7 linked regions of the Macaca fascicularis genome follow. The protein of the gene in region 2 purifies or fractionates together with the protein of the main gene of each other region. This does not show direct contact. Links are inferred from orthologs where the notes say so. Each region holds a gene or a part of one and is shown on either strand. Other genes may lie near its edges.

What was found.
Region 1: the proteins of TNKS1BP1 (region 2) and CNOT6 purify together in Homo sapiens (affinity purification with mass spectrometry; 3 studies listed by BioGRID and IntAct, with this or other methods). This does not show direct contact. The link is inferred for Macaca fascicularis from reciprocal best matches to the Homo sapiens genes TNKS1BP1 and CNOT6.
Region 3: the proteins of TNKS1BP1 (region 2) and CNOT2 purify together in Homo sapiens (affinity purification with mass spectrometry; 5 studies listed by BioGRID and IntAct, with this or other methods). This does not show direct contact. The link is inferred for Macaca fascicularis from reciprocal best matches to the Homo sapiens genes TNKS1BP1 and CNOT2.
Region 4: the proteins of TNKS1BP1 (region 2) and CAPZA1 purify together in Homo sapiens (affinity purification with mass spectrometry; 3 studies listed by BioGRID and IntAct, with this or other methods). This does not show direct contact. The link is inferred for Macaca fascicularis from reciprocal best matches to the Homo sapiens genes TNKS1BP1 and CAPZA1.
Region 5: the proteins of TNKS1BP1 (region 2) and CNOT11 purify together in Homo sapiens (affinity purification with mass spectrometry; 5 studies listed by BioGRID and IntAct, counting the BioPlex papers as one, with this or other methods). This does not show direct contact. The link is inferred for Macaca fascicularis from reciprocal best matches to the Homo sapiens genes TNKS1BP1 and CNOT11.
Region 6: the proteins of TNKS1BP1 (region 2) and CAPZA2 purify together in Homo sapiens (affinity purification with mass spectrometry; 4 studies listed by BioGRID and IntAct, counting the BioPlex papers as one, with this or other methods). This does not show direct contact. The link is inferred for Macaca fascicularis from reciprocal best matches to the Homo sapiens genes TNKS1BP1 and CAPZA2.
Region 7: the proteins of TNKS1BP1 (region 2) and CNOT6L purify together in Homo sapiens (affinity purification with mass spectrometry; 4 studies listed by BioGRID and IntAct, with this or other methods). This does not show direct contact. The link is inferred for Macaca fascicularis from reciprocal best matches to the Homo sapiens genes TNKS1BP1 and CNOT6L.

What each region holds. Positions count from the first base shown.
Region 1 is NC_088380.1:187,471,733-187,475,232, forward strand, and holds part of CNOT6 (CCR4-NOT transcription complex subunit 6), read left to right. Parts: intron 1-1,842; coding exon 1,843-1,947; intron 1,948-2,028; coding exon 2,029-2,097; intron 2,098-3,171; coding exon 3,172-3,329; intron 3,330-3,500. UniProt on the Homo sapiens protein: Poly(A) nuclease with 3'-5' RNase activity.
Region 2 is NC_088388.1:16,292,291-16,296,545, reverse strand, and holds the start of TNKS1BP1 (182 kDa tankyrase-1-binding protein), read right to left. Parts: upstream 2,801-4,255; 5' UTR 2,693-2,800; intron 186-2,692; exon of another isoform or gene 97-185; intron 1-96. Other genes in the region: FACT complex subunit SSRP1, read right to left, coding at 4,255-4,255.
Region 3 is NC_088385.1:76,975,271-76,979,413, forward strand, and holds the start of CNOT2 (CCR4-NOT transcription complex subunit 2), read left to right. Parts: upstream 1-1,498; 5' UTR 1,499-1,581; coding exon of another isoform or gene 1,582-1,703; 5' UTR 1,704-1,821; coding exon of another isoform or gene 1,822-2,033; intron 2,034-4,143. Other genes in the region: uncharacterized protein, read right to left, coding at 553-622, 989-1,498, 1,582-1,703, 1,822-2,033. UniProt on the Homo sapiens protein: Component of the CCR4-NOT complex which is one of the major cellular mRNA deadenylases and is linked to various cellular processes including bulk mRNA degradation, miRNA-mediated repression, translational repression during translational initiation and general transcription regulation.
Region 4 is NC_088375.1:121,725,056-121,728,555, reverse strand, and holds part of CAPZA1 (F-actin-capping protein subunit alpha-1), read left to right. Parts: intron 1-68; exon of another isoform or gene 69-167; intron 168-1,078; coding exon 1,079-1,142; intron 1,143-1,934; coding exon 1,935-2,141; intron 2,142-3,500. UniProt on the Homo sapiens protein: F-actin-capping proteins bind in a Ca(2+)-independent manner to the fast growing ends of actin filaments (barbed end) thereby blocking the exchange of subunits at these ends.
Region 5 is NC_088387.1:5,748,237-5,751,736, forward strand, and holds part of CNOT11 (CCR4-NOT transcription complex subunit 11), read left to right. Parts: intron 1-180; coding exon 181-383; intron 384-2,535; coding exon 2,536-2,632; intron 2,633-2,714; coding exon 2,715-2,912; 3' UTR 2,913-3,500. UniProt on the Homo sapiens protein: Component of the CCR4-NOT complex which is one of the major cellular mRNA deadenylases and is linked to various cellular processes including bulk mRNA degradation, miRNA-mediated repression, translational repression during translational initiation and general transcription regulation.
Region 6 is NC_088377.1:158,309,228-158,313,377, forward strand, and holds the start of CAPZA2 (F-actin-capping protein subunit alpha-2), read left to right. Parts: upstream 1-1,350; 5' UTR 1,351-1,440; coding exon 1,441-1,479; intron 1,480-4,150. UniProt on the Homo sapiens protein: F-actin-capping proteins bind in a Ca(2+)-independent manner to the fast growing ends of actin filaments (barbed end) thereby blocking the exchange of subunits at these ends.
Region 7 is NC_088379.1:56,098,752-56,102,251, reverse strand, and holds part of CNOT6L (CCR4-NOT transcription complex subunit 6-like), read right to left. Parts: intron 3,196-3,500; coding exon 3,009-3,195; intron 1,657-3,008; coding exon 1,571-1,656; intron 1-1,570. UniProt on the Homo sapiens protein: Has 3'-5' poly(A) exoribonuclease activity for synthetic poly(A) RNA substrate.

The sequences.
Region 1 (3,500 bases), on a different chromosome or scaffold from region 2:
TTATAAAGCAAGATCTTACAAGGGGGGATCACATAGGTAGAAGCAGTCACCTGTCAATATTCTTTGCACTAGAAAGTAGTATAAAGACAGCATCGGCCAGGCGCAGTGGCTCACGCCTGTAATCCCAGCACTTTGGGAGGCCAAGACGGGCAGATGAGAAGGTCAGGACGTTGACACCGTCCTGGCTAACACGGTGAAACCCCGTCTCTACTAAAAATACAAAAAAAAAAAAAAAAAAAAAATTAGCTGGACATGGTGGCGGGCGCCTGTATTCCCAGCTACTCCGGAGGCTGAGGCAGGAGAATGGCGTGAACCCAGGAGGCGGAGCTTGCAGTGAGCCGAGATCGCACCACTGCACTCCAACCTGGGCGACACAGCGAGATTCCGTCTCAAAAAAAAAAAAAAAAAAAAAAAAACCCAGCATCACTGTAGGTCTGGTTAGAATGAGTTGTTTACCTGATACTGAGAAGTTTTCGGTTGACTTCGTTTTCTCAAGATGTGTTTCACACAGGGTCCTGATAAGCTTCAGGTTGTAGCTGCCTATCTCACAGGATTGTGACTCAGTGAAAACATGAAAAGACTGATGAGTATAAAGAACCACACATGTCAGAGATTGGTGCTCTTGTAATTGTATTCCTGCAAATACCTACTTTGCACTTAGAGCAGCAGATTTTTACTTTTTATAATTCTTAGAATCCTAGAATTTTCAAACTGAAAGAGATCTTAAAGGTAAATGAACTTTGCCATTTTTCCCATCCATGCAACTCAGCTTCTTTGAAGGATACTCCACTGCCTCACAGCACAGGGCGTTTCAAATAGCTAACAGTGTTTGCCAACGTCTTCTATTCTGCCTTGGCCTTTCCTGTTAGATCTTATCTGTCAGTCTTCCTTCTGCTCTTTGAGTCCGATCTTTTATGAGAGAATAGGAAAAAACACTTCCTTTAGGTTGTGATCATTCTTATCTACCATATCCTTTAGTTTGTCTTCATTTGGTATGGTTAAGATCTTTGACCATTTTATCTGCCGCCTTCAAACTGCAGAATTTGTCTGGTTTTCTTAAAATGGCTCTGTGGCATCCAGAATAATACACAACGCTTGTGTAGAATGGATAGGAACTTTGCTCCATGAAACCCTGCACTGTACTGTTGTTATTTGTACTTTTGTTTCTCATGTACATAAGAAACCCTTCTGAGAGGATTTGAGGCTCTTGTAGGTATATGTAAATCATTGTATTTGCTCTCATTTTGGTACAAAGCAGTTATTGAATTTACAGATGGCTCATGGCCCTGGGATTTTTTTCCCGCTCCTTAGTGAGTTAATTCTTAAGCCAAGTCAGCCCCATGTTGTTGCTTTATTCAGTATGACTTTAAAAGATCTAAGTGCAAGTGTATATTTGTCATTAGGATGTTTTGTTGTTAGCTTTGTGACATTGTAGAGTTTTGATTCTCTGATGCATTACGCTGGCTTTCATCCTTCCCTTCACTGTTTCCTCTGCCCACCCACTCCCCCAGTCACCTGGCTGCCCTGTTCCTGTTTTACTCGCTCTTGTTTGTTATGACCGTCTGTGTTATTGAAAATGTTGGCAAGGCAGGTCAGATACAGAGCGCTGCTAGAGCATTTCTGATTGACATCAGCCCATTAATATGTTTTGAATGTGTATATAAAACATGGTATGAATCATTTTTACTCTTATATCAAAAACTGAAAAAACATTTTCTGTAGTTTGACATCTTACTAGTAACTATAACATTGTTATAGATGATCTGATAATTTTGGTACATAATAAAATTTTGAAACATTTTAGTGCTTAGTTTCATTTTACTTTTTTAAAATTATTTCCAGGAAATCCCCTTACCCAGGATATATTGAACCTTTATCAGGAACCAGATGGAACAAGACGGCTGCTGAACTATTTGCTTGATAATTTGTCAGGTACTGCAAAAAGAAGTAAGTGGTTATTTGTTTAAACCTTTTTATTAGGAAGATGTGTAAGAATATTGCTTAATTCTGTATTTTCTATTCAACTAGTTACAACAGAACAACCACCTCCAAGGTCTTGGATTATGTTACAAGAACCAGATAGAACAAGGCCAACTGGTTGGTAGTCTTTTATTTTTTAACTGTTGTTTTTGCTCAGTCTCTATTATAAGCCTAACAGTATTGTCGGCATGCTTAGATTACAGGTAGCATTAAGATAGAATGTTTAAGGTTGATTTGGTTTGGGAGGTAATGAAAAAGAATTCTTGCTCACATGACCTCTATGTATATTACATTGTGCTATATAGAAAGTGTACTATAAAGCAGTGCTTTTCAAATGGGCCGTTTATCCCCCAGAGGGCATTTGGCAATGTCTGGAGACAACTTTGATGGTCATAACCGGGGAGAAGTGCTGCTGGCATCTAGTGGATGGAGGCCAGGGATGCTGCTCAGCATTCTGTAGTACATGGCACAGGCCCCCGCAACAGACTTCACCTAAATGTCAGTAGTGCCACTCTTGTTGAGAAACCCTTCTGTAATGTACTGATGAAATTCACTTAAAATGAATACACCCAAATCTTTCTCTGTTAGAAGTTTCCAAATCCTAGCATGTTCCAAATGGATTTGACACTACCAAGTTATAAGAGAGCTAAACCCTTACTTAAGAGGAAAGTGGAACTAATGACTGCTCATCTCCTTTTAACCTAAATTCTATGAAAATAGTTTGGGAGCTTTCATGGCGCGTGTAACAAAATTTGGTCTATGATACCGTTTTCATTTTGCATGAAATAATAATAGTTGTGCTGTAGAAGAAAATGAGGCATGCCTATTAAGGACTACCTATCCAGTTTCCATGTCATACATGAACAATTGGTAGCATGGTAGGAGTATAAAAATGAGGAATGTTAGACTCAGAGACCGAAGGGCTCACAAGCTTAGACTTTTTACTTCCAAACCTCTGTGCCTGCCTCTGTAGCAGGTAGTACATTGTATTCTAACTTGTTCACTTATCTATCCTGCTTGTGATATCCGTCTTTTATTTGTCCCCCATGTGTGGCATATGGTAGCTTTTCAGTGACTATAGATTGAATGAATACAGTCAAACTTAACATTTAAGTGAAAACCATTACTGAAATTAATTATATATTTTTTTTCTGCCACGTGTGTGAATAAGTAAAGTTATCTTTCCTACAGCCTTGTTTTCTGTCATGTGCTATAATGTTCTTTGTGATAAATATGCGACCCGGCAGTTATACGGCTACTGTCCATCATGGGCACTAAACTGGGACTACAGGAAAAAGGCCATTATTCAAGAAATCTTGAGCTGCAATGCTGATATCGTAAGTCTTCAGGTAAGTCAGACAGAAGAGAGTCGACCTAGCATTGATAAAGCAAGGAACAAACTAGGAATACATTACACTGACACATTTGAAGTTTCAGCTTCGGTAGTTCTTCAAGTACTGCTTTTTGCTGTTATCAGTGAATGCTGGGAGTACTGCCTGCCTTTCTTTGCAGTGCTGTGT
Region 2 (4,255 bases):
CTCCCCATTCTTATCTTCTAACCCCAAAGTCCTAGCGCTTCAGGGAGTCACTCACTGCTCCCTCCTCTGACAAACTCTCCAAGACACCCCACTTACAGTCCCCAGAGTGCCCCCTGGGTAGGACGGCCCCGCTGGAGGTGTCTACTCAAAGCAGAGCTAGAGAGTTGCAAAGTATGAAGTCTGTGAATCACCTCACGGGAGACGGGAAAAACCCGCTCCTCCCCAACCTGGGCTCCGCCCCATTGCCTGCCTCCCCCTTCCTGCTCACCCTCCTTCCCTCTCTCCCTCCCTCCCAAAGCTGGGAGTGGTTCCTTCTCCCCCCTCTCCCTGTTCTCCCTCCACATCCCTGCCCCACTCTCCCCTCCCTCAGAGCTGTCTCATCCAAACACGGAAAAATAAGGAATAAAAAGTAAACATCTGGAATATATTTTTTTCTTTAATTTCTCAATCGCTTGGCTTCAGCTTGGAATTTGATGAGGTAAAGCCAGGGCCTAGTCCTGTTGCCATAGCAATGGCCTCCCACTGGATTTCCAGAGCCTAGCCAAGAGGAAGGAGGAGCCGGCCCAGGCCTGGGCTGGGAGAACGGGACAGGGCTTGAGAATATCCGGGGGGTGGAGTGACTTGGGGGAAAATTCCCTGGGGCTCCACCTTCCAAGAGAGTCAGGGCGGAACAGCCACAGCCTATGAAAAGGGGCTATGTGGGCTTCACTCACCAGCCTTGGGTTGGCTTTAAGGAGTTCTGAGGGGAACAGAAGAAATTAAACCAAGTGGCACAGCCCTGTGGTAGAAGCCTGCCACAGGAGCTTCAGGGTCTGATATACCAAGATTCAAGGCTGGATGGGTCTACCACTTTCTAGCCGTGTGACTTCTCTAAGCCTCAGTGTCTCCAACTGAAAAATGGGATTATTGAGACCCTGAGGGGGCTTACGTGATATAGTACATGAAAACTGCTTAGCACAATGATTAGTACATAATAAGGATTCAATAAATGTTGCCTATGATTACTGTGATTCCATTCAGTGTCACCAATGAGCTAATATCCTGATAAGCACCTCCTCCTCTTCCGTGACCCCAGGCTACCAGCATTCCCAGACCATTCCTTCACTCTCCCAGGCCCTAGTGCTGTCACCTGTTCTTCAGATACTCCACCACCTCCTCAGTTCCCATCCTGGCTCCTGAAGCACTCTCCCACCCACAAAAACATGGAGACCCTGGGGAATAGGGCCCTGCACCTCTCATGCAAGGGGGAAGTTTCCCTCACCCGGTGTGCAGAGCCCTGAGGACAACCCAACCCTCTCCAACCTGCAAGGGGCATTGCCTCACTTAAAACCACCCACTCCAGCTGGTCTGGGAAGACAGCACCAAATTCCAGTGCTCAACCTCTGCCAAATCCAACTCCTCTCCCCTAACGCTAACCCTGCCCCAGGGATTTCAAAGATGGGAAAGGGTATGAAGACAGTAGAGAAACCCAGTACTGTCAACCCACTGGTCAGTCAACCACCACGGAAGACTGCCCACTGTGGGTGTGTGAATAACTGTGCAGAGCCAGGCCAAGTGTGGTGGGGGGAGGGGCACATGATAGAAAAAATAAAATTAAAACACAAGATTGTTTCCTTGTCCTTGAACATTATTACTAGGGACATAGTGTGGGTGGTTGGACATGGAAATGAATTGGCTCAGAATCAAAAAAATCCTTTCACCTGAGGTTCTGATGGGCCCCTCTGCGGTATGAGGGGCTGCAGCAATGAAGGCGGGCTCAGAGTCCCCAGGTGCGGAGGTGGCCACAGCAACTCAGAGACCCCAGCCAGGAGCCCCAGGTGAGCAAGGCCACCAAGGCTGTGGCCAGAAGCTGCAAAATCGCAGCGGATCTGAGCACTCCCCACCCCCAAAAGACCAGGAGGTAGAGGGTAGCGGGGTAGAGACGAACTGACCCCTGGCAGATAAGGCCTCCAGAAGGGCTGGGCAGCTCCAGCCCCGGAGGGGACTCGGCGCAGGGGGGGTCGCCCCTATGGACCGCAAGATCTCCAGCCGGATCGAAGGCTAGAGAGGTCGGCAGGGACAGCACGCAAACTGGTGGAAAGAGGGAGGGCCAACGGGAAGATGGAACAGCCCCGGGCAATGGGCTGTCTGGAGGGGCCCAGTGGGGAGCTCTGGACACAGAAGGGACAGCGGCAGCCGAAGAGGAGGAGGAGAAGAGGATGGAGGAGGAGGAGGGGACGGCGGTGGCGGCAGAAGCGGAGGACCTGTGAGCGGGCTGTGAAGCAGCCGGCGAACAGACGGTGGGCTGCAGACGTCGATCAGGTGGGGGCGGACTGGGGTGGCTGGGGGCGTGCCGAAGGAGCCGGGGGAGGGGGCTAGCGCGGCCCAGGGGAAGGGGAGGCAGGGGTCCCTCCAGCGGCTCTGCCCGCCCCCGGCCCCGCCCCAAGCCCTCGCCCCCTCCCCCCTTTCTTCTGGCTCCGCCAGCACGAGCTCCAGACCATGCGCCCTCCGCCCCCGCGCACACGCGCCAGCTTCCCCCGGGCCTCCAGCGTCCCCAGCGCCCCCGGCCCCTGCAAACTTTCCTGGTGACCCCCTCACCACCACCACCTCAACCCGAGGTCTCGGCTGGAAAGCGCCCACTCCTTCCATGCCCCTCCCCCGCCCCATCCCGGACCCCGCCCCCTCCTTCGCCCGCCCGCCCCCGCGCACTCACGCGCTCGCCCGGGATCCGGCTCCGCTCGGCTCGGCGCCCCGACGCCAGTCCCCGCCGCCGCCGCCGCTGCTACCGCCGCCGCCGCCGTCACCGCGGGACGAAGCCACTGTGAGCCCCGGCGGGGCCCCGCCCCTAGCTCCGCCCAGGCCCACGCCCCCAGGGCGCTTCATGAATATGCATGAGCCGGTGGAACCCGGGAGTTGGAAGCCCGTGCAGAATTCGTCCCACCGTCGGCAAACAGGCGCGGCCCAGTACTCAATTATTCATGAGGCTTGCAGATGAGGGGCCCGCCCCAGGCTCAGACCGGGGCGAAACTGACGCAATTCAGCCGGGGGCGCTCGGGTAAAATGGACACCGAGACGACTGCCTAGAGAGACTGCCTTGGCGGCCCCTCCCGGGCCCCGCCGCCTGCACGGAGTGCAGTACCATCGAGCTACGCCGGCAAGAAGGTAGCAGCCGGCGGACTGGAGCGGCTTCCTGGTACAGCCACCTGAGTGCTGAGAACGCGCGCAACGTGGCCACCCCTCCTGTGTCAATTCAGATTTAGAGCCACGGTGAGGAAGTCTGGCAGCTCTGCTTTCCTCAGTAGTGACCTTTATCTCCTTTCAGGCCCCGTCTCAGACGTGGGTTCCTCCCTACACTGAAGTTTGTATCCCCCCTTCTTCCCGTAAGAACAAAAGCTGCACATATACTCCGTACTTTTCTTGCACCCCCCACCAGGCTGCAGCCACCACCACCCTACACACACGCTCATCCTCCCCGACTCTCCAGGCTCACGTTTCCACTCCCCCGGCTGCGGGAAGGACAGTCAATCCTGATTTCATTATCTAAAGCCTTGGAAGACCCTTGACTCATAGGTAAGGATGGGGCCAAGAGCTGCCTCCCCCTAGCTTGGTTGGCTAATGGAGCGTAACCGGGAGAGACTTCCTAATCACATCAGCTCTCATTTCTAGATTCTCAGGTGGCCCATCCGGGCAGAGGCGGGTGAAAACCAATGCTTCTCCAGCCGGGAACAGAACAGGATGTGCCTCGAGACTTGCTTCCCGGCTGGCCAGGCTCTGCCTAGTCTGACCAGGGCAGTAACCACCACCAGTAAAAGTAGGAGCAACAAACCAGGGCTACAAAGAAAGCATAAAGACATGGTTTCCAAAGTCAGTTCCCTTTATTAAATCATTTTCACAGACCAGAAATACAAAATAAAAGTAGAAATAGGCCCCAGGTAGGAGCTACAGGCCTGGCCTCACATGACCCCTGCTCCAGCAACTTGAACAGGACCAGCAGCAGCTACATCCTTAATTAAGGTCGGGAAAGTAAGATGAGGATTTTGATCCTGCATTGCCCTGCCTCCCACCCCCTCTCTCCCCAAATTATAAACAGCCATCCTTGGGAAGCAACAGAGTTAAGAAGTCTCCCCACGGCCCTAGTGACATACACACCAGCAGGAGAGCATGTTCAGATGGCACAGAATCCAGGGACTACATTTCATGAGGAGAAACTGGTACCAAAATGTGGGGAGTCTGGGGGTGTGAGAAGGCAAGCGCAAAGAGAACCTTCCTCCATTTC
Region 3 (4,143 bases), on a different chromosome or scaffold from region 2:
TTTGTAAGAAAAGGTGAATTTTTAAAAGAAACAACCAAGTGAAGTAGAAATTTTATTTACTTCAAATTAATTACTCAAATAGAAAAGGACAATTTTTCACATTATGAAGCTACACAATTCCAAAACACACATGCAGAGGCTCTTAAGAACGAAATGTCTAGTAATTACAAAAAAAGTGAAGAGTTTACAGACATACAAAGAAATAAAGGGGTATTATTGCAAAGAAAAGTTTAATTTCACTTTGAACGACAACGATTTTTCTGGAAAGCAGATACTTCACTCCTTTAAGTTTCCACCCAAGCCACAATAATTTCAAATGGTCTTGCGGATGACCCAGCTGGTCACTCTTGTTTATGTGGAGACTGGGGGGAATGAGAGTCAGAAAAAGTGCTATAAACCTAATTTGGCTAGAGCAAGTTCACACGACACGACCGTGCTTTAAAAACTTGCTCTCCATTATGTACTTCCTTCCACCAGGTTGGGGGGGGAAAAAAAAAAAAAGGTGAGGATGGTGAGTAAATACACCAGTGGTTTCATCAGAGGGGAACTCACTACTCAGAAGGTGACGGTGACGTGGTGCCGGTCCCTGAAGTACGCGCACAAGCTCCGGAGGTTGCGGGAGCTAAGGGAGGAAACGGGGACACGGTTAAATTCGCCCAGGTGGCGGGAATGAGGAGGGGAGGAGTGAGGAGGCGGACGTGCGGGGGCGGGGTGTCCAACACAAACACAAACACGAACACGCTCAGCATCCCCGGGGAGGGCGGACTGAAGCCACCTCACCATTCATCGCCCCTGGACCCTGCGGTCCCCCTCGGACTTAGGGCCAGAGCCCTCTGCGAAGCAACCTGGCCCCAGGAAAACGGTAGCGGCCGCAGAAGCCCCGCTCTCTGTAACGGCCGCGGAGGAGCAGCAAGCCTCCCTGTGAGTCGATGGGAGACAAGACGGAGCAGCGGTAAGGGCGGTAGGGGAGTGAAGCGCCTCTCTCCACCTTGTTAGAAGCGCGCTGGAAGCAGCCTACCCACCCCATCGCTGCTGCTTTGCAGTCGCCGCTCCCACCTTCCGCCGCCACCCGGAGGGAAGCCGGAGCGACGGGGGTCACGGCGGCGGTCAGAGGGTAAAGGTCTTGCTCCCAGCAGCCTCCGCGGTGGATACGTCGCCATCTTGGATCCGCGGGACAAGAAAATTCATGCGGTGAGTTTTTGGCAAATTTTCGGAAGTCTGGCAGCGGGGCGCGCGGCGGGGGCGGCGGATTCGGGGCCCCCGCAAGGCGGGGGAATGCCCCGGGGCCGGTCCGGCCGCGCCCGGGGTCCGCCGGTAGCGTCCCGGCCCGCCGCTTCCCGTTGCTTTTGTCTCGGCTCCAATCGAGAGAGGGAGAGCGGAGCGGGCGGGGAGGGGGGGTGGCGGCGGTGGAGGGAGGGAGGGGGTGTGTATGGGGGTGGTGGTGGACGGGACGTAAAGCGTCGCTGTACTCGGGCCGCTGCAGCAGCAGCTCCACATCCTAGGCCCGGTCCCATCCGCGAGTGGCGGGGCTTCCCCAGACTCCACTCCCCTAGGCTCCCGCCAGCGCGGAGGAGCCGCTACCGCCGCGCTGCTTCCTGGGGGAGAAGAGAAGGCGGCTGCGGCCGTGGCTGAGGAGCTCGAGCCCGCTTTAGACGGCTCTGCCGCCTTCCCAGCAGCTGGTGCTGTCTCTGGCTCCTTACATTCTCAATACACGTATATCATCTGCCAGTTATGTGTATTTCTGTTAGTGTGTGTGTAAGTGTCAGATGGGAGACACTGGACTGGCTAACGGGTGTCAGGAGCCTGCAGGCCCTGGGATACCGAAGGCTGTGCATGGTGGAGGGAGAAGGAATGCAACTGCGATGCTGCCTCTGCCACCGCACCAGGAAGGTGAAGCTTCCGTAGTGTCGTAGACTGAGTCCGGATGGTCCTGGGGCGGCGGAGGAACCACAGATGCTTCTGTCTGTGAAGTTACAAGCCCTGGTTTTCTACTTCCGCAGGGGCCTCTCCACCTTTTGCTGTTGTAGGTCTCACTTAAAAGTTTCACAGAAGAAAAGAGTAGGGTTAAAAGAGGCCTTTGTAGTTCTTAATTGAGGCACTGTTGTCTGTCCGGGAGAAAGCTGATGACTCTTGGTGACTGTGGTCCTTAGCAAAAGTGAATTGTAGTTTTCTTTTATACAAAGTATTTCCAAGGTTTTAGACTTTATATTTATTCCAGGCCTGTAGGTACGGTATTACCACCACAAAAGTCTTACATAAGGGTACCACCCTCTCAGAAGGAACCTAAACAACTTCCTTCGAATCCTTGGAGACATCTTCACTTTTCAACATCCGGAAGACTGAGTGCAACATATTTTGTTTCATTTTCATAAAACTCTTGGTCAGAGAATCCCACTCCTTTTAAAATCGTTTGGGCAGTTCTTCGTAATTAAGTACACTGATTTGAACCCTTAGATTCTTGGCGAAATGGTAAAAAGTACTCAAAGTCAGTTCACGAGGGAAGCCAACTTAAATTTAAGGTTCCAAAGTTGAACATACTTCATGCTTGATATTAGGAATTTTTAGAGCTCGGAATCATAAGTGTGACTCTTGATTTCCCTTTTGAAGCAAGATAAGTGGAAAGAATAAAGTATGGGGTGAGGGATGAGATAGAAATTTTAAAGTATCCATTTACATACAAGGTTTATGTTGAGTTTGGGAATGCTTGGCATAATTGACAACAGTTCTTTCCAAACGTCAATGAATATGTCTCTTATAATTTTGTAAGATTGCGAATTGAAAGGGTTAAGAATCATAGTGGGCTGAAATGGTTAAGTGTCTATATTCAGAGCCCAGTTCATTGAAATGTTTTATAATGGACCAAGATAATTAGTAAGCTCTGTATGTTGAATTTGTTTAGTTTGTAGTTCTTTTATAATGTTAAATCTAAAGAAAAAGAAATACAAAATACACTTAAAGACAAAACATGTTCCACTCTACTCACTTATTTCTTGACTTTGTAAGATCCTTATTGTAGAAAAGGTATCTTTCTCTCATATTTTCTGAGAGCTTGAATTGTAATAACTTTTGTGAATACTTTGTATTTTAGAGAGGAAGTGAGAAACTCTGCTAAAGTTTTTTTTTTTGTATCTGAATTAGTACTTCATCAATACAAATAAGTTAATGTAAACATTTGTTGGCAGGAATCTTTTTTTAAGTATACAATGTAGAGATATCTGTAACCTAATCTGATCTCAGGGAATGAGAATTGCCTGTTTGTTTAACCAAGCAACACATACAGCCTATACAATTTTTCAGTTTCTATAATACTTTAATTTATATGGTGGAAAAGGAGGGCAAAATGCTTGTGTGTGAGTGATTTATATCCCCAAGTACCTGATCTTGAAGATAAAACTCAGAATGTGGCTTATCTTATGATGCTGGGCAAAAAACAAAAACAAAAAAATTCAGAATGATACAACTTCCCATATACCTCCCTACAAGGACTAATTACCTTTGTTTTTCCTTTATAACTTTGGGTGTTGCACTTTTTGATTTTTCAGAGATGCTTTACAGTTATTATAACCTGAAAATTATTTGTTCAAAAGTAAATAAAATTTTCAGGTGTATGAATAGATTTTATTAGAAGTGCTTCTAACCCAGTTCTCATTTGTATTCCTTTAGTAGATACTGGTATTAAAAGTACCTATATTTTGAAAGACCATTACAGAATTTTTTACAACCTGTATAAGTTATAGTTTTATGTTTTCTAGTGACAGACTTCATAAGATTTTCTGATAATGTAAATAGAATGTATGCTTCACATGTATATGTGAAATAATGAGTAAGCATTAATAGACTAGTGAAAAACACTTAGCTTACAATTTATTTTTTTGCTCTTTAAAAGCAATGTTAAACAATAGCTGTTTTTTTGTTGTTAAAATTTGTTAAAATTTTCCTGAGATTTTAGGAAAATATACAACCAAACATTTATGATGTTATTTGTTACCTGGGTCTGTAGGGGATTTTGTAACACAAAGAGGCAAAAGATCCAAGGTACCAGGTAGGGCAGTTTAGGGGCAGAGTTAATATGAGGTGTACTGTAATGTTTGAGTGGAATTATATACAGTGTTAATCAAGGGATCTAGTGCTATGGTAGAACTT
Region 4 (3,500 bases), on a different chromosome or scaffold from region 2:
TTGTTATTTTGCTTTATCTTGAAAAGCCTAGGGAAAGTTTAACGCTCTGCTTGAAACTAGTGGTCTCCATCCTTTTGTAGTTCATAAGTGTGATGGTTGAGTTTTCACATGCATGTGAGATGTGCCTCCCTCAAACCTTGTTATGTTGGCACATTACCTGTCTGACATGGGAAAAAAATACTAGCCGTCTATTTTAATAGGTTAAAATTGGGAATGCTGTGAGAAGACAGATACTTTTCAAGAATATAAGTATAACTCTTATTTCCATCTTTCTTTTATCTTGTTTTTTGCTTTAGCTTTGTAAAATGTATTAGAGAGCCATTAAAAATGCAGAATTTCAAAAATCAAGCTTTGGACAAATAAACAGTAATATTAGGCATGTACTTTGATTATTTATGCATTCCTCTTTTAAAAATAACTACTCTGCGCCTGAGGCTCTGCTTTTATACTTGACTCATGCTCAACTCTCACTTCACCTTCTTCACATGTCAGATGCCTTCTGACATTTAATTATAGTTTCTCGTGACTTTGAGAGCCAAGAAAAAAATCATTTCCAAAATAGTGTATCAATGGAAAATTCTTTTGAATTACTGAAAGCTTCTGCCCAAACGATTAAAATTGTTGGCAGTTCACAATAATCAGATTGCTTCAAACTTTGGAATTAGCTGAGTGTGGTGGTGCGCACCTGTAGTCCCAGCTACTCAGGAAACAGATGGGAAAATCTCTTGAGCCTGGGTGTTTGAGGCCAGCCTGGCAACATAGTGAGACTATCTCAAAACAAACCAACTTTGGAATTGTCTAAGTAGAGGATCTTTTGGAGCTTAGGAGCAAAGAGGAAAAGGTAATTTCAGAGTTTAAGGAGCTTCCAAGATCTCCGTGGAGAGGAGTCCCTTCAGAAAGCTGGAAGGCATTATGTTAACACTGGATGTCTGGGGAGAAAGGGGAAAAGTACCGGGTACAGTTTTCACATTTCCTTTAACTATTCTGTGAACCACCTTTGTGTTTATTTACACATAATTCTTTTCTCTCTCTCCTTTTTTTAAAAAAAAAAAAAAAAAAAAACTTTTTAAAAAAACAGTGCATTTGCCCAGTATAACATGGATCAGTTCACGCCTGTGAAGATAGAAGGATATGAAGATCAGGTAATAATTGCCTTTTAGAAGGCTATGCCTGGGAGATAGTAGAAATCTTATTAATAGAAACCAAAGCAGATGTCTGAACCAGGTGCTGAGTAAATTTGTCTTAGTTTTTTTAGTTTTTGTACGTACTCTACATGTTATGATATTTTTCCTCTTTCTGATAACACTAGCAGTTTCTTTGACAAGAAAGGAGAGCAGCCTCTAACAAGAACAGTGAAAATGGAAGTATTTAAGTCGTACAGGTTTTCCAGCTGTCTTTAATTCTCCTTGATAAGAGTAACAGCAGACATATTTAATGGAAAAACAGAGGCACTCCTGAAATTTAGACTACTTATTTATTACTTTAGGATTTTGGTGGTTGGAAAATGGGGTGAGAAAACAGTTTACTTTATGTATTTTTTCATTTTTGAACCATGTGAATGTGTTACCTATTATAAATGCTAAGTGTAATGGCCCTAAAGTTTCATAATGACTCTGGAAAAAATCTGTGAAAAAAATACAAAAGTGTACATAAAAGTTATCACAGCTATGTATAAAATAACTATATAGATAATATATTAGAAACCAAGAAATGAAGTTTATTATTAATATGGGGGATATTTTGTAGTTTAAAGTTGACTTATTCATAAATGTAATATTCTTAATAATATGGGACTTGGTTGAAAAATTATGAAAGAGAAGTCTGACGAAATGAAAAGTTAACTGCCTCAGAATTTTTATTGATGTGTTTCACAAAAGGCAGTAAGAATTGTCTTTTTTACAAAGTTACTCATATGTTTAATCATTCTTTGGAAGGTCTTAATTACAGAGCACGGTGACCTGGGTAATAGCAGATTTTTAGATCCAAGAAACAAAATTTCCTTTAAATTTGACCACTTACGGAAAGAAGCAAGTGACCCTCAGCCAGAAGAAGTAGATGGAGGTCTGAAGTCTTGGAGAGAATCCTGTGACAGTGCTTTAAGAGCCTATGTGAAAGACCATTATTCCAACGGCTTCTGTACTGTTAAGTATCTGCTTCATTATCAAAGAGTGTTTTCTTATATTTACCTTATCCTTTGGAGACTTTGGCCTACCAAACATTCCTTCTTTCTTCTTAGTCATGCTCTCTTCTCCTCTGCATTTTATTCCCTAAATCATTTTGGAAAGGGGTATAAATAAATGGAAATTTTTATATGGAAAAGTTCTTTTTAAAATCCCAATGCGCCAGGCGCGGTGGCTCAAGCCTGTAATCCCAGCACTTTGGGAGGCCGAGACAGGCAGATCACGAGGTCAGGAGATCGAGACCATCCTGGCTAACATGGTGAAACCCCGTCTCTACTAAAAAATACAAAAAATCTAGCCGGGCGAGGTGGCGGGCACCTGTAGTCCCAGCTACTCGGGAGGCTGAGGCAGGAGAATGGCGTGAACCCGGGAGGCGGAGCTTGCAGTGAGCTGAGATCCGGCCACTGCACTCCAGCCTGGGCGACAGAGCGAGACTCTGTCTCAAAAAAAAAAAAAAAATCCCAATGCACAAAAAATTTAGATATCGGTGTATTCTGTTTTCACATTTGACTTATGAGAAATGCCTTACACCCATCAGGAAAAGGTCTTTTGTTTTTTTTTTCTTTCTTTTTTAAAATTAACCTTTTAAATTAATTTTTTTCTTGTTTGTATTTTTACCCAGATCTAAAAGGTCTTTGGTTTGGACACAGAGAAAAAATGGTATACTAAGATTGTTTAGAGAGCTATTGCTCATATTTATGACTTTTTGATATAGGCATTTTTACACAAAGCTACTTCTACATAGTTTAAATATTTATATTAGGTAATCAAAACTATTAGAACTAAACAATTGGCTGGGTACGGTGGCTCATGCCTGTAATCCCAGCACTTTGGGAGGCCAAGGTGGGCAGATCACTTGAGGCCAGGAGTTCGAGACCAGCCTGGCCAACATGGTGAAACTTTGTCTCTACTTAAAACATACAAAAAGTAATTGGATGTGGTGGTGCACACCTGTAGTCTCAGCTACTCAGGATGCTGAGGCACAAGAATCACTTGAACAAGGGAGGTGGAGGTTGCAGTGAGCTGAGACCACCCCACTACACTCCAGCCTGGGCAACAGAGTGAGACTGTCTCAAAAAAACAAAAAACAAAAAAACCAAACGATTTTTTAAAAATCAGGAATGATTTTCTTTTTGTTGTTGTTGTTTTGTTTTTTGAGACAAAGTCTCACTCTGTCACCCAGGCTAGAATGCAGGGGCACCTTGTCGGCTCACTGTAACCTCCGTCTCCTGGGTTCAAGCAATTCTTCTGCCTCAGCCTCCTGAGTAGCTGGGATTACAAGTGCCCACCAACACACCTGGCTAATTTTTATATTTTTAG
Region 5 (3,500 bases), on a different chromosome or scaffold from region 2:
TAAATTTAGAAATGTCAAGACATCATGGGTTTGAAGGAAGAAATTTATGAAGTTGGTTCAATGCAGATAGTTTTGTAGCTTTTTGTATAAAATGCTTATTTCATATACATGGGAAAAAAAAATTGACTCAAGACCCTCTTTTTCTCTCCCTCTCTCTCTTTAAAAATCTGGTGTATTTAGCTCCTTGGTGAGTTGGAAAAAGACCCCAAACTTGTCTATCATATTGGCCTCACCCCAGCCAAACTTCCTGACCTTGTGGAAAACAACCCTTTAGTTGCTATAGAAATGTTGCTGAAATTAATGCAGTCAAGCCAGATCACTGAGTATTTCTCTGTCCTGGTCAATATGGACATGTCTTTACATTCAATGGAAGTTGTAAATCGGTAAGTTTCTAGATTTGATTAAATGTGTGGGGATAGATACAGATTAGATGGCCAGGAAGGAAAAATTGTAACAGATTTTTGTGTTGATATTATTGGCATAAGAGTAACTATTAAAGAAATAATCTAAGCCTTAGCATTCACTACATGTGAATTTAGCATGCGTTAATAAGAACTGAGGGTAGGATTTCAAACATATTTAGTGTTAGTAGAAGCATAAATGAAAACTGCTGAAATTTATTTTATTTATTTTTTTGAGAGGGAGTCTCACTCTGTTGCCCAAGCTAGAGTACAGTGGTGCAATCTTGGCTCACCGCAACCTCCACCCCCTGGGTTCAAGCAATTCTCCTGCCTTAGCCTCCCTAGTAGCTGGGATTACAGGTGTGTGTGCTACCACACCCGGCTAATTTTTGTACTTTAGTAGAGACGGGGTTTTGCCATGGTCAGGCTGCTTTCGAACTCCTGACCTCAAGTGATCTGCCCACCTCAGCCTCCCAAAGTGCAAGGATTACAGGCGTGAGCCACTGTGCCAGCCAATTACTGAAATTCATTTCCCTGTACATAGTCCTATCTTCTTTATCCCTGTACAAATACAGATATTTTTTTCTTAGTGACTAACAGCTGTAAGTGTGGAAAAATATGGACCTTAGGAGCTGAGAATCCTAGGAATGCCGTCCTAGCTTCCTCATGCTCTTCTCCCAGCCTTTCTGACTCCCCCGTCTCCTGACCCTGCCATCCTTGACTGTCAGGAAAATAGAACGTCCTCCCTTCTTGATGTGTGCTATACAGTGTTTGCATTTTATAGTATTTTCCTTACAAATATCTTTTAGGCAAATTGTGAATTAGATGGGCTGGAGGGCTTCAGTTGTTTATGTGCAGGATGGCCAGAGGTTCAGGTGTGCCTGAGTCCTGGTGGAGGCTTTGCATCTGAGCTCCCTTTCACGTGGTATCCTGCTTTGGATGATAAATTATATGGTCCTCCTATATGGGGAAATCCGTTCTGAGTGCCAAGCGACTAAACTTCAGTGACAGCATAGTTTTTTAACACCTGTTTGTAAGTTGGGGCTTTTTGAAAAATCTATGTGAAATTGAACTACAGAATGTGCCCTTTTTTTTTTTTATCAACTATTGGAGAAAAAAGCCCAGCTGGAAGCCGAGGGAGTGGAAGTATGTGCATAGAAGGAGTGCATTCTTTTAGGGGCAGGAGGGGGAGGAAGCGTGAGGTTTCCAGATTAATTTTTAACTTTAACCTTGGTCACCGGCAAAACCAGCTAGCTGCTTGTTGAAAATGTGTTGCTGCATTTCTCCCACTCCTTGTTCCAGTCTTTCCCCTACTGAGTGAAGACTCTTTTCAGTGGCCCAGTTCTGTGCAGGTTTGCCCGCACAGCGTGGATTGACCACGCTGAGTGTTCACTTCCCCTTCACCATATTCTTATAGCAGTTCTTGTCACTACCAGACATTTGGCCCTGAGTCCAAGATGCAGAATCACTGTATCTTTTTGTCAGTGCGATTCTATCTGCTCAGTATCTTGGAATTCAAGGATAGGGTCCTGTTTGTTTTCCCCCAACACCTATCACAGTGCATCATCCTTAAGCGTGAAAACATGTTTGTTGGTGACACACAAATCTCAAGTGACTGCAGCAGCTCATGACAGTGTCCTTGGAGCACTGCCTCCTCATGCCTTATTGAAAAAAGTTTTGAGGTCTGGTAAGTTTAGAAAAGGTAGCATATATTAATCTTCTTTTGGAAATTCATACCTTGAGTATGGAATTCCTGTTCCCAGCCCACTCATTTTTCTCCTTAAAGCATTCCATGTAATCCTTTGGAAAATACTGGCTTTGGCCTTCATTATGACTCTAAATTCCAATAACAGACCATGACTTATGATTTAACCAAGAATACTCAGGGGCAGGGCTCAAAAAAATAATTGCGGTATGTACAGTTAAGTAGAGACATTTTTAAAAAGTGTTATAATTTATGAGTAAGTAGGTGTGGCTCTTGGGTTTACTTGCCCAAGTATATTTAAAACAAGGGAATTGGATATATCAGATAATTCCACCAGATGACCGAAGCAATTTTTGTATTTTATGGTTAACAGTGTTTTTCGATGTTAGCAAATGAAATTAATGGCCCAAATTTTCTTTTATGAAACAGACTAACTACAGCTGTTGATCTACCTCCTGAGTTTATTCACCTTTATATATCAAATTGCATCTCTACTTGTGAACAAATTAAGGATAAATATATGCAGGTAATAGAAATTTCTGTAAATTTTATAATTGCCTGCCAGGAAAATGAGCACACTAACATTTGTTCTTTTTCCCCTTTTTCAGAATCGGTTGGTGCGTCTTGTGTGTGTGTTTCTCCAATCCTTGATCCGTAACAAAATTATTAATGTACAGGATTTGTTTATAGAAGTGCAGGCATTCTGTATTGAATTCAGTAGGATACGAGAAGCTGCTGGTCTTTTCCGGTTGTTGAAGACATTGGATACTGGGGAAACACCTTCTGAGACCAAAATGTCAAAATAATACCTCATCAGAACCATCCCATCCATTCACTGTTCAGCTGTACTGTGATTTAGTTTTTACACCGTTAAAACCCTGAGTGGATTGCTTGGTCTAATGCATATAAAACAGTACTTTATCTACTTAAAGCAAAGTTTTGCTTTCTTGGATGACTTTTTCCGTGAGATGAATTTTTGATAAGAACTGGGGAAAACGTGTCTTTTAGGTGTCTTGCTGTTGACTATCCACAGGAGGAATGGCTATCCCAAAAAAATAGATGAGTTTTTTTTTTTTTAAGCACTAAAGAACAAAATGTGTTTTTCATTAATACAGGCTTCTGATGAAACAGGAATCCAGTTTTCGTAAAGTTCCAATGTTGATAATGAGAGTAAATTCTTAAACGTTTGTGATACTGTCCTAGAGGTGAAAGCAGCTGAATGTTTCTGAACCATCAAGAGGCAAACAGGAGTTTGGTTCTTGAACCTGCTTATGCACAAAGCTCTTAACTCCTCATGAACCAAGGATTTACTTGTAACTTTCTCCTTGTCGTGGAGGCTTAATAGACAACAGAATAAATGCATTTCTTGGGCCTCTTATAAACTTGGGAACGCT
Region 6 (4,150 bases), on a different chromosome or scaffold from region 2:
GCCCGGCCCCAACTGTTCAATATATGTTTGTTTAATGAGTACAAAAATGAGCTTCTTGAGAACAGAAGTTTCTCTTTTTATTTCAATAGTTTTGGAGTACAGGTGGATTTTTGGTTACATGGGTAAGTCCTTCAGTGGTAATTTCTGAGATTTTAGTGCACCCATCACCTGAGCAGTGTACCCTGTACCCAATATGTAGTAATTTATCCCCTCCCCAGTCCCCAAAGTCCATTTTATCATTCTTATGCCTTTGCACACTAACAGCTTAGCTCCCACTTATAAGTGAGAACATAAAATATTTGGTTTCCCATTCCTGAGTTACTTCACTTAGAATAATGGCCTCCAGCTCCTTCCAAGTTGCTGCAAAAGGCATTATTTCGTTCCTTTTTATGGCTGAGTAGTATTCCATGATGTATATACCCACATTTGCTCTATCCACTCATTGGTTGATGGACACTTAGGTTGGTTCCATTTCTCTGTAATTGCGAATTGTGGTGCTATGAACAGGCGTGTCTAGCTTGTTTTTTTCTCCCTCAACACTATAGCCCCAGAGACTAACACAGTGCCCCGCACCCCGTTAAAGGACCAGAAAATATTTGTTGGATGAATAAAGGAATATATAAAGAGCAATCTTTCAATTATGGAGCGGGTCGTGTGTGTGTATTTTAATGAAAGCCGACTATTTAATTTTTTGTTTGTTTGTTTGTTTTTTGTTTTTTGTTTTTTTTTTGAGACAGAGTCTCGCTCTGCCGCCCAGGCTAGAGTGCAGTGGCGTGATCTTGGCTCACTGCAAGCTCCGCCTCCCGGGTTCACGCCATTCTCCTGCCTCAGCCTCCCGAGTAGCTGGGACTACAGGCGCCCGCCACCTCGCCCGGCTAGTTTTTTTGTATTTTTTAGTAGAGACGGGGTTTCACCGTGTCAGCCAGGATGGTCTCGATCTCCTGACCTCGTGATCCGCCCGTCTCGGCCTCCCAAAGTGCTGGGATTACAGGCTTGAGCCACCGCGCCCGGCTATTTAATATTTTTTTAAAAACAATGTTTAAAAAGCTTCTATTTGTCCACCTTTTCAGATTTTAGCTGGCAGAGTTCAAGACTTGATAGAAACATAACGAAGGGCTCAGAATGTACTCATCGCAGACTGAGCCCATATGGTCACTGTGGGGAGAGAACGTTACACTCACGATGCTAGCAAGCCTGCTGCAGGCGGCCCCGGGAGACAACGTCCCCCGCCCGGCCACCAGGCACCCGCGCACGCGCACAGCCGCGCTCAGTCCCCGAGGGCCGGGTCGAGGGAGGCGGGGCTCTCGGGGCGCGTGCGCGGCGACCTGAGCGGCGGGCCCCTCCCTTAGCGGGGGCGCGCGGCGCTGAGGACCGCACGGAAGCGGGGAAGTCAGGTGGCCGCTGCCGCCGCCGCCGCCGCGGTTTGTCGCCAGAAGGAAGATGGCGGATCTGGAGGAGCAGTTGTCTGATGAAGAGAAGGTAAGAGTCGTGGGGGTGGCGGCGCCGGCCGTCGGGAGCCGGCTCAGCCCGGGCGGGTGGGCCCAGAGTCTGGTCGCGGGGGATGGGCATTGGCTCGCAGCTGGCGGTGCCCTCGTCTGCCCTTCTTCCCCCATCCTTGCTGCGCCGAGTGCCTGCCCCTGTCCGTCACCCGAGGCCCCGCGCGGGGGCAGGTCTTTGCCAGGCCTGCTCGCTCCGCTCCTTGTAGGGTGTGTACTCCGAAAATAGGAAGCGGGAGCCGGGCGACGGCGGGCGGGGGCGCGGGCGCGGGGGAGGGCGGCGGCTGCCCGGGACTCTCTCCTGCTATCCGGCCGCGGAGCCTGCGCCGGGGGCCGGGGACCGGGGACGCAAAGGGGTCTGCGTCCGTGCCTGGGAGCGGCCCAAGGGCAGTGCCCAGCGCGGCGGCCTGGCCTGTGAGTGTAGCGGCGGGTGAGGGGGAAGGGAAAAATCGCTTAGGAAGCAGACCTTCACTTCTCCCTTCTACTTCCCCCTCCCCAAAACAAAACGCTTCCTTTTCTGATTCTCTACGGTTTATCCCTTTTTTTTCCCTTTCCCTATGGAGGCCTCTCTCTCTCCCTCTCTCTTTCGTTTCATGGCTCTAGCAGTAAGCTTTGCAGCTCCCATGTTCCCCGGGAGGCAGCGGAGTTGCTCACAAAAAGACGACCCCCTCCCCATAGTTGTTTTCTGCCCACGTTGTCAGCATTCTCCCCGGGGGTCGATTTGGTGTCACGTCACCTTCCTGCTAGGACTTCTTCCGAGAGGGGAAATTGTTCTACTCCTTTTACTGTATGTCAGATGCTGTGACAGCAGTGGAACCAGATGAACTACTTAAGTTCTCAGATATTTAAAAGGAGCAATGGAATAATTCATTGAACTGCTGCTCTCTTAATTCGCCCCTTTCGTTTGGCTTTCGTGAACGTCCCATTCCTGAGGGTGGTGGGATAGGGGAGAACCCTGCTAATTTTGACTGTTTCTCGGAAAGGACACTGACGTTTCTCAAACTTAGAAGTAACTGACAGAACATACGAGTGAGTTAGTTGTAGGGTTGGAAATGTCCACTCTTCGTTAAAGAGTGCTCCATTTTTAAATTTCAAAGCAGTACAGCCAATGGAGGAAAATACAGGTACATTTAGGTACGTTGTGGTGTTTAAGAAATCCTCGTGTAAGTCTAAGAATATTTTCATTTGGGACCCTCTGCTCTAGGTGTTTTTATATGCTGTGTTCTTGCACCGAAATAGAAGGTTCTGTCCCATTCCCAATGTGAATGGTCAGAAGTCAGCCTCATCTTTATTTTCGGAAATCTGTCTTTCTCTTGTGTTGTTTGGTGAAAGTGATAATACAACAACAAAATGGGGGCGAGCAACGTCTCCATAACCCACAGACCCAGTAGGCAGATCCCTGTATCCACAAAAGTTGCTATACAGTATTGAATGTATAATCTTGGTAAATAACCCTAAGTAGGTGACTGAAAATGTACAGGAGTGCACAAACGCATATTTAAAATTGAGTCGTGCTAAAAAGCTTAAAAAGAGATTGTCGTGTTTTTATTCTACCATTCTTAAGTGGTGATTAGTAGCTCAAGTGGCTAGAAATCTAGCTGAAGAGAGAATACTCAGTGTGGGAGTTAATAAGACCTGCCATGTGTTGTAAAGGCCTAAAATTAAAAAGTTTTTTAAAAATGAGATAACAAGATGCCTTATTATCCGGCACTCTCAGGGCACTAAGCTTCATAAAGAGGAATGAGGAGGTTCTATGTCTTAAAGCCTGCGCCGCCTAGTAGCAAAATGTTTTATGGTTAAATGAATGAAAATTCTAATTTGATTTTTGGTGTTTTGTAAGAATATTATGTAGATATTTTACATATAAATTTCATCACTATATTTACTAATTTAAAAACTGAGAAAACTTTTAGGTTAAATTCAAGTAACCAGTTAAGTGAAATTTTAACGTTCTTGTCAATTGAGATATCTAAAGGTTGTTTTCATTTTGGGGCAGGAGGATGTGTCCAGTATGGGATCAGAAAACAGAGAGGACTTAAAAGTGATATTTTGATATTACTCTTTCTACGCCTTATTGGTAATTTTCAAAAATAAGCTGTCAAGCTGGGCATGGTGGTTTGCACCTGTAATGCCAGCTACTCTGGATGCCAAGGTATGGAGGATTGCTTGAGCCCAGGAGTTGTAGACCAGCCTGGGCAACAAAGCGAGACCTCATCTCTAAAAAAAAAATACTAAGTTTTGAATACTTTTAAGTTTTTGAGATTTCCATTCTAGATTGCAAATCTGAGGAAGGGAAGCTGTTAAGATGTATCTAGTACTGTACTTTATATATGCTTGGCTCAGTTAGATCCATTCATTACTTAATTTGTTGTTGTAAGAGGTAGTTGTTCTATTTCCATTTCACAGATGAGTAGAGTGAGGTTCAAAAGCTTTAAGTAGTTCACCCAAGGACAGTCAAGATGAAGGTCTTGTTACATTATGCTCTCTTCTTTTTTTTTTTTGAGACAGAGTCCCCCTCTGTTGCCCAGCCTGGAGTGCAGTGGTGCAATCTCGGCTCACTGCAACCTGTGCCTCCTGGGCTCAAGCGATTCTCCTGACTCAGCCTGCTGAGTAGCTGGGATTACAGGCACGTGCTACCATGCCCAGCTAATTTT
Region 7 (3,500 bases), on a different chromosome or scaffold from region 2:
GGGGAGGTGGAGGTTGCGGTGAGCCGAGATTGTGCCATTGCACTCCAGCCTGAGCAACAAAGCGAAACTCCATCTCAAAAAAAAAAAAGTAAATTATTCATTTGTCATTGATATGCTTTCTATCAATATCAGGAAGAAGAAAATAGCTACTAGTGAGGAATAGACTTGCCCCTACTCCAACTCCAGCTGAATGGCTATCTCAACTATATAATGAGATTGAGCATAAAGAAAATGAGGCGAAATGTCTCAACGGTACAATTTCAAATGCCTTGGGTTAATCCTCAATCCTCAGGAAAATATTTTAGATATAAGTATTCTCCCTCTCTACTTTATAGGTGATTTTAAAAAATCAATAAAATCTTACAGAGAAACTATAAACACAAGATTCAAACCATTCATATAATTGTCTAATTTATGAAACTGAATAAGGAAACCTAATTGTCATATGTTATTTCAACCAATAATATCATCATTCTTTCTATTCTTATTCAAACTTCATTCTTAATGATCCATTATATGACATAAGCAAATGCAGGCAGAACATTATCATGGAAACTAAAATAGTCTTTTAAGAAGGAAAATAAAATCTATGAAAGTGTATACTTTACAAGGCTTTGACTGATGTTTATTCCTCATGAGCACAGAAGAAAATGTTTAATATAGAATATTCGTACTTGGTCCTATTAATTCATAAACTCTCATATGCTATGCCATAAGAGAAAACTATACAAATTTCAATGTTTCTATGAATTGAGTGTGCCTTTCATCCCAAATTGAATGAGAAAGATAGTCAGAGAAGTATGTATTTTGGACTAACACACGTTACTTAGAATAATTTACTTAACAGGTATAGCTAATTTTACTATTATAACGTTTTCTCTCCTATAATCACATCAATGCTATTTTATTTAGTCAAAAGCTAAACATGAGGCATTCTGGCTGAGGTTTAGACTATTATTATGTAAAGTAATCCCTTTTTTTTTTTTTGAGACAAAGTTTTGCTCTTGTTGCCCAGGCTGGAACGCAATGGCGCGATCTTGGCTCCCCGCAACCTCCGCCTCCTGGGTTCAAGTGATTTTCCTGACTCCCAAGTAGCTGGGATTACAGGCATGCACCACTACACCCGGCTAATTTTGTATTTTTAGTAGAGACTTTAGTAGGTTTCTCCATGTTGGTCAGGCTGGTCTCAAATTCCCGACCTCAGATGATCCGCCCGCCTCGGCGTCCCAAAGTGTTGGGATTACAGGCGTGAGCCATCACACCCGGCCTAGTATTCACTTTTTTTTTTTTAAAGTGTTAATTTAAATTATCTCTTCTAAGAAATTTCAGTTTTACAGAAAATTAAAGGTAAGATATAAAAACCAAAAAATTTTCCCCTTACAAGTTTGTTAAAATGATGGCACATATTGAAATCTTCAAGTTCAATTTGATACATAAAGAACTACTTTTCTTTCAAGAGAAAGTACACGTAGTCACATTCTCAAAATCATACTAAAACTTAACCTTTTTAAAGACCAAAATGCTCTTTCAAAGGATCAGAATACCTGAAAACTGTTTAAAAGTCACTTACCTTTCAAACCTAGAGTTTGTAGCTGGAAGAGCCGACCAAGTTCATAAGGCAAAACCCGTAACAGATTGTTATTTAAAAGCAATTCCCTGTTTAAAAAAAAAAAAAAAAATTTAGTTTAATATACTAAGTTTTATTAACATCTGTATTTGCCATTAACGCTCCTTCTAACATACTATAAGTGATTGTTTATATTCAAGGCACATCTCTATGTGCTCATCCAAAAACACTGTACAATATAAAAGTACTATGAAATGTGTAATTGCCACTACTATTAACAATGTTTCTATTTCTATGATTTACTCATTCTCTAGCTCACATTAAAGTTGGAGGTGTAGGAACTGCATATCATTCTCAGGCTAAATCTACCCCCTTTTTTCTCACCAAAAATGCCTGTCAAATGCAAATGTGACAGATATCCTTAGTATCTAACCAACAGATATCCTTGAACCCCATCTAATCAATAGAAAAAAGTACAAATTTTTACACAAACTTCAGGAATAAACTGTAATTAGTAGCCAATCACCTATACCTTAAGTAACTGAATACTAATCATATCAAAATACTAAGAAAACAAACCAAAAAATTAATAAAAAGATTAATAAGAAACAGGTGAAGTATATTAAAGAAGACAAAAGAAAATGTGAAAAGATGAAAAAAATACTATGATCGACAATTACTGACATGAAACATAAATATTAAAATAAAGCATAGATAGTACAGACAAGAATAGGATAGCATAAGTAAGATCTAACTTTATGACTGTGAAATTTTGAGCAGACTATAGGAAAAAAATAGCACCCTCATTAGTGGATGACCAAAAGTAAAAAAAGCAAGTAAAGGAAAGTGAAGAACAAGATTTTAAAACAATGTTTAAGTTTAAACATGTGACGGCAATTTTTAAAAATTATTACTCAACAGATAATCACTGGAAACATTTAGATAAGATCTTAAGATTTCCTACAAAGTTTTTTTAGGATTTCTTTAGGGAATTTTTAAAGAATCCCTAAAAATTAGAAATAAATCCATTTCATCAGGTTTTAAGGTTTCCTTAAGGAGTTGTATTATGAAATATAAATATACTTTGACTCAAATAATAGAGCTATGTTCTTATCAGTTGTATTCATCAGCAAAACTTCATTTTTCAAGTATTTCTGATCAGTCTTATCACATTGGATAATGAGACTTACTATTTTAGCCTCACCCCACCTCAAGTTTGTCAAGGAAACTGGTAATACAAGCACACTCTAATTCAGGACCCTCCAAATTTAAAGAAAGGAAAAGAAATGAATAACGGAGGCCAACTCAAGCACTATGCTTAGACAGTTTATATAATTTGATAGTTATAACACACCAAAATCCTACTATAATTGAGTAACATCCCTAATTTTCTTAAATTTAGAATTTTATATAATGAGTCATGTCTGTATTACTTCCTCACCTGAGAGACACCATGTTTCCTAGTTCTGCTGGTAAACTTCTGAGTTTATTGGATGACAGATCCAGGTAAACCAGATTATGAAGCTTGGCAATATCAGGTGGAATGCGACTAAGGTAATTGTCATTTAGGTGCAGCGCTGTCAAGTGTGTCAATGACCAAAGTGATGTACTTAGGCTCCGCACTCTACCTAAAAGGCAAAATACTGAAGTGTAAAACCCCAGGCCCAAGATGACACCTAAACTACAAGGACTAAAAAGTGGTAAGAGAGGCTGCAAATACACATGGATATTGTATCTCTGACATTTTAGTTTTTCATTTAATGCATTTGATTGCTTCCAAACACGCCTGGCCCTCCTTTACGTTCATGCCACTTTCACATGACAACCACTCTTTCTCATGAACCTTCCATGTATTAAATGAGAAGTGGCAAAATGTGGAAACCCTTGGAGTTTAACTGAGTAGTTCTCAATCAGAGGCAATTTGGTTTCCTCA